Saccharomyces cerevisiae S288C: one gene and its partner. The gene in region 2 interacts genetically with the main gene of each other region. Each region holds a gene or a part of one and is shown on either strand. Other genes may lie near its edges.

Evidence for each region.
Region 1: mutations in WSS1 (region 2) and AHA1 together harm fitness more than expected from each alone (negative genetic interaction), as found in Saccharomyces cerevisiae (2 studies listed by BioGRID).

The regions. Positions count from the first base shown.
Region 1 is NC_001136.10:891,211-894,608, reverse strand, and holds AHA1 (Aha1p), read right to left. Parts: upstream 1,735-3,398; coding exon 682-1,734; downstream 1-681. Other genes in the region: YDR215C (uncharacterized protein), read left to right, coding at 107-520; UPC2 (Upc2p), read right to left, coding at 2,117-3,398. UniProt on the Saccharomyces cerevisiae protein: Co-chaperone that binds to the molecular chaperone HSP82 and stimulates its ATPase activity.
Region 2 is NC_001140.6:370,058-373,058, reverse strand, and holds WSS1 (metalloendopeptidase WSS1), read right to left. Parts: upstream 1,311-3,001; coding exon 501-1,310; downstream 1-500. Other genes in the region: serine/threonine protein kinase YCK1, read left to right, coding at 1-365; NSG1 (Nsg1p), read left to right, coding at 1,462-2,337; IGO2 (phosphatase regulator), read right to left, coding at 2,610-3,001. UniProt on the Saccharomyces cerevisiae protein: Metalloendopeptidase that acts selectively on DNA-binding proteins. DNA is needed to bring the protease and substrates together to enable proteolysis.

The DNA of each region.
Region 1 (3,398 bases), on a different chromosome or scaffold from region 2:
AACAACAGCACAACAACAATAATAACAACACCTGTAGCGAAAACGTTTTCCTATTTTTAAGGCGTTGTTCTTTGAAAACCTGTGGCGAAGTAAAACATGAAAACAAATGAAAACACCGCCAAACCAAGAAAAGAACAACGAAAAAATATCACTTTTATTTAGTTCACAACGGCTAACTATCGACGTTCACCCTTCCTCAGTCTATCACATCGTCCTTAGCTCGAACAACGCCGATAGGCATCAAGTTACATTGAGCTTTACTGCACGTTCCCGCATGATGCCATTGACTAGGGCCCGCCCTTTCGGCAATCATTCTAGCATGTTCCGCATGTTCCTTGACGCCATGGTCATCCTTGCCGTCGCCTCCGGCGTTTCCCTTCCCCCTCAGCTGCCAGGGCGCCGTTCACACAACGCAAGCACACCCGGCGCCAAAAAACCGGGGAAAGACCACGGCGCTATGGTTTCGGAGTTTCCCGCCAATGGCGTTATAACTCCAGTTTATTTTCCTCTTCGTTGGTAAATTCCGGGGAGGCCGTCGGCGCCGGGCCGCAAAAGTAGGACGGGCGATCGGAGCCGCGCGGATGCCGTACAGAACTACATGATGTATTGCATTCTATCTATGCCAATAGTGGTATGTAAATATTTACGCATACTTTTATTGAAACATGAGAACAATATATCTTATAATACGGCACCAAAGCCGAATGTCAATTTAATAGAACGCACGTAGTATTCTTCAAAATTAGCGCGCACGCGATCTTCCTCGCCAACGGGTATGCCAGTCCACTTCACCTGTAATTTGGTTTCATGGAATTCTTGCGACTCATGGAAAGTCATTTCGATAGTAGAGTTGAAAGGGGCAGACCAATCCTTGAGTTTCCAGTGGAAAACAAGTTTCTTGTCCTTTTCGCATGAAACCAACTCGCTGATCACGTTGCCGCCAAAGAGCTCGAATTTTTCTTTGGTCTCCAGCTTCGGTCCGCTGTTGAAAAATTGTGCTGATCTGGTCCAGGCCAATATGCGTTGCTTATCAAGGAACGTTTCGTAGAGCTCGGAGGAAGGCACATTAAAAGTTGGTTCTAAATAAATAGATGTACTATTGCCGCTTCCGTTTTGGGGGACTTTGTTGGTGCTGGAGACTGGTGCTGAAGTTGAAGTAGAAGAGGGAAGTGCATTCTTTTTTGGCTTTGAAGCGGAGTCCTTGATTTCGGTAAAGCTACTTTTTTGGTTACCTCTTGTGTAGTTAGATTTCACCTGAGATTCGGGCACCTGAATGTCATTACCATGGGTGGCCAGCAAATCCTTGCCAAATTGTTGGAAAATTTGTCTCAACTTGGGCAATAACTCGGATCTAATTAGTGGCTTGGCTTCACTCAATTCGCTAGTCTCCTTAAATATAGATATGTCAAATTGATAGCTTGAGGCCTCGCTATCGAAGGCAACTTCAGGAACGTTAATGCTACCCTCGAATGGCAATGCCGATCCGTCCTTAGAGTCCACGTGTCCCTCTATTAACACCGTGATTTTCAAATCAAACAAAGATATAACCTTCCCCTTACGCTGATTAACTTCACAATCACCTTCAATGGACGAAACAGACTTGATTTTGGCATACTTTTTATCCTTCACCGAACCGGCCTCCACTCCAACCAGTTTCTGTTTGAAATACTCCTTGGCCCATCCGATGCAGTTCTTATCGACCCAGTGCCAGTTATTTGGGTTATTCACGACCATATTGATATATTGTTGCTACTATAAACGATTAAGAATAAGACTGAAAGGAATAACGAAAGTAAGGAATTGCCTCTCTATCAAAGTTTCCTATACGAGTGAACTTTCAAAATGCCTGCAGTTCTTTTTGTATTTGCATTACACATAAAAAAAAAAAAAAAAAAAAAAAAAAAAAAAAACTAACTACTTTTATATAATACAATTACAGATATGTTCATTCTCCCACATACAATGCGGTAAGTAGGCATTTTGAATCCATCTTGGTTTGTTGCGAGGCTTCTTTGTTTTTTCTTCTAGAAAATTCCATTGTGAACTGGGTAACACAATATCCCTTTTTTTTTTTTTGGGAATCTATTTCGAATATTCTGCACTTTTAAATTTTCTATCATAACGAAAAATCAGAGAAATTTGTTGTTGTCATCGATGGTAATCCGCCACCGAGGAAATCTAGCATCATATGCATACCACCACCTCCACTGTATTCGTCAACATCTTGAGGCAGCACCTGCGTGACTCCTTCGAGAAACCAGACTTTATCCTTGACCTCTGTGGCAAATCCTCGAAGTAGTTTATAATATGATCTCATAATTCTCATTGCACCTAAATCACCTGTCATCAGTAATGCCAGGAATGTCTTGTCTAGCAATGCTGGAAATGTAAATACCCGCAGAATAAAATCACCCTGGTTTTTTTCACGGTGCAATTTATCTAAATAAGCTAGTGTTATCAAATATGGCGAATCTAAGCCGACAGGATACAAATCGGCAATACTTTCATCAAAACATACCAATTCAGTAATTGTTCCAACATCAGGGTTAATGACATCGCCTAAATCGCTAAGATCAACAGATATAATGTTATGAAATTTAGATCTTTCACTCAAAGGCCACACAGCGGTTAAAATTGTTGCAGCACCTTTGACATGAAAGATCCAAGCGCTTGGTGACATGCTATTCAAACTTTGGTTTCCTACAGTGCCGTTACCACTAGCATTTGCTAACGAGTCCATGATTAGTATCAGGGCGCTGGCAACTAGCGCATCGGTGTTATTCTCAGATATTTCTAAAACAGCTTCTCTTAATAATCTCAGAGCGTCTAGGCGGTGAGATGAAACGTATTGCTCCAGTCCAGTTTCAGTCCTCGAAAGATGGGTGGCACTGAATGCCAACAAAGCGTGCATTAAAAATGGATAGTCAAATGCTAACTCCGGTATGTAGTCCCTCCATATTTCAGGCCCAGAAACTTTGGCCGCTGTAATCGTAGGCCAGACCTTTGTGCAATAATGATGAAACAGTTTCATGTCTATCAGGTTCAGATTGCCTTTGGTAGAAAGATCTAAAAGCTTAGCGATGTTACTGGTACCAGCAGAAACAGAACTTCGGTCAGCTTCGTTATTAATTTTTGAGGTCATGTCTTGCCGCGATGCATCGTCTTCATTCTCTGTCTGTGATGTTTGTAAACTTATCGTTGGTTCGTTGTTCTCCAAGGCTGCTTTTGTCAGATTTCCTAGAGAACTTATAGAATCTTGCATCTCTTGCCTATCATTCAACACTGCAGAGGGCGTTGATGGAGAAATGTTGCTGTTTCTGTTCATGTTTCTTTCAATCATTGATATAGGCGCCATTGTCGAAACCGCATCAGCCGCCTGAGGTTCCATAATACTAGCA
Region 2 (3,001 bases):
ATATGCGCAATTCTCAATATAAACCAAAGTTAGACCCTACTTCTTATGAAGCTTACCAGCATCAAACCCAGCAGAAATACCTGCAAGAACAACAAAAGAGACAGCAGCAACAAAAACTTCAGGAGCAACAACTTCAAGAGCAACAATTGCAACAGCAGCAACAGCAACAGCAACAGCTACGTGCAACAGGCCAACCTCCATCTCAGCCTCAAGCGCAAACTCAATCTCAGCAGTTTGGCGCTCGTTATCAACCACAACAACAACCTTCTGCTGCTTTAAGAACTCCTGAACAGCACCCAAATGACGATAATTCAAGTCTAGCTGCTTCTCATAAGGGCTTTTTCCAAAAATTAGGTTGTTGCTAAATATAGAAATGACATTTTTTGCAAGACTACCGTCTTTCTTACATTTTTTGTAATGTGAATATATCTGTATACTTTACAACCGAAACGACATTTACCATACTTATAATTTTCGAGTTCTTCGCTGTGGACAAGAGATTAAGTGAGATCAATAACTTCGATAAGAGTATCTCCCGGGAGTACCTCGTCATCATCATCAAGGATTACAACTTCTAAGGAGCTGCTAATATTATCACTTATTATTTGATCTTTGTTATTCTTCGTCTCTCCGCACCAGCGATCATCTCTATATCTCCTTTCGGCTGCAAAAGCCGCCAACTCTCTCGGGGAATTACCTCTATCTATAGATGATATACCCTCTGGATGCAAACTCCCTAACTTCACACCTTTGCCCCTTTTTCTCACTATCCCTGTGTTAGTACTTATTCCTGTCATAGGATATCTATTTGAACGTAAGTTTGCTCTTCCACCGAGACGTTGACCGTTCCCCAAAAATGTGTCGTACAAACCTCTTTGTTCAATAACCCATTGCCTTCCAATCAACTCATCTAGCTTATTGTAGAACTTTTTGTCGTGTGGACCGAATAAATTGTGAGTTAATTCGTGCAGCATGGTGCCCATTATACACTCCATGGGTAAAAATTGGAACTCATCCGTGGAGCATCTTAACCGTAACATTATCTTAGATCCATGGTTGACGTTCATTCCCAGGAGTCTTTGATCACGTGGGTAAAACTCCACCAAGTTGGTCACTTTGAAGTGATTTTCCTTCATTAGATAGGAAACTTTATGTGCGATTTCCTTTATTAAATTTAGCGCATCTTCCTTATTGGGCTTACTTTGCAAAACAGCCACTTTTTGAATGTGCGGGTTCTTGTGAGGGATTCTCTGGGAGCCCGCCATATCATGGTATTTTGCCGATGGGCTTTTTATTCCTTCTGTCTTCATTAATCAATCTCTCTTATTTAGAATATCTTCAAAATATGCGTTGTTACAAAATACAGCGCAAAAGAAAAAGTGTCAAAATTTCTTCACCAAACTCACCTTTTGGTATTCAGAGCAAGTGAGAAAAAAAAAATTTAAACAGAGGAGGTTACTAATGGGCAAGAAGAAGAGTAAGAACCAATTAAACACTGGAGGTGTTCCTAATGGTGTCCATAATACCAAGAAAGAGGCAGCTTTGCCACCTTTGGGAAATAAGCTGGGAAGCGCAAGTTTTACAGCTATAAATACGCTGACTAAGCCCGCTTTGTTTTCATTTTATGATGACGATATTACCAAGAATGAAGGTAATGTTTATGACAAGGCTTTATTGTCTAACGCCTCTCAATTGGAAATGGTTCCGCCATCCGCGACTGCGAGACACGAAAGGTCATTGTATGCGAAAATAATCAATACTATTGCTGCATTTTTTATTCTATTCATAGCAGGAATACTCTTCCCCATGATATCAGAATGTTTGTTTGATAATGACCAATTGGCAAAGGGAGATATCGTATCCTTTTTAAAGCATGGTATAGAAATTAAGAACAAGATCGTCGCGGAACCTGACATGGTGCCTGATTGGGCTGTATTTGGTACTGAAGGTGTTATCTTTGGTTCCATAGTACCATTCATTGACTCTTTCGTTCGTTATCAACACCAGCCAAAAACCAGGTCATCAGTTTACAAAAACACCCTAGGATCATTTATAAGATGTGCCAATACTCTTTTGGGCTTAATATTTGGTATTAGGAAACTTGAATGGTCCTCCTCTTTGCAGGCAGCTGGTGCATGGAGCTTATTAAACATTGTTCTGTGGTTGTTCTTTGATGGCACTTTAACCGTTTTTTTCCCAGGTCTAGTAATTGGTGCCCTTAGTGCGTTCACTTGCTCACAATGTTTCTCGCAGTTGTCACTGGCGTTGTATTTTATAGATTTCTATTTTTTTGGGTTTTTGATGTTCAGCAAGTTGGGCAGATATTTATTCAATTAAGTGTTCCCATAGGGGCGTTCAATGATTAGTATCGATGTGTAAATCTTAGCTGATTTTTAGGCCTCAACAACCTTCATTTACTAAGCATGTGAGTAAATCAAAAGGATGACGTCAACAAAAAACACATCAGTAACACAAGGTATACCATACATACATATATATATATATATATATATATTATTTGGTAATTGAATATTGAAAATGCAAGGGCTTAGCCGAAGCTAGTGATGATAAAAAAAAAGTAATACCACATAATATCATTCCTTCATTAGTCATTTATTTGGAGATCTTGGTGGAGGTCCACTTGAGATACTTCCTTGTCTCGAGATAGAATCGCCACCACTACTACTACTCATACGTCTTCTAATAATAGACTCTCTTAAACCGCTAGGATTGGTCACTGGTAGATTATTACTAGAATTATTCACGATAACGTCATCCGACTTAATGACTCCGGCCTTTTTCAATGCATAATCTCCGCTGTCAAAATATTGACGATCCTGCATCTTATGTCTTAACAGATCTTTTTTGGATGGAAGCTTCCCATACATTTTATACAATTTTAGTTCTTGTGGTGACAGCTTCGATAAATCCACTCCCTCTTTGGTAAACCCATGAGGATTGCTCAAATCCACCCTGCTGCTTGTAGGTGAAAGATCCTCTG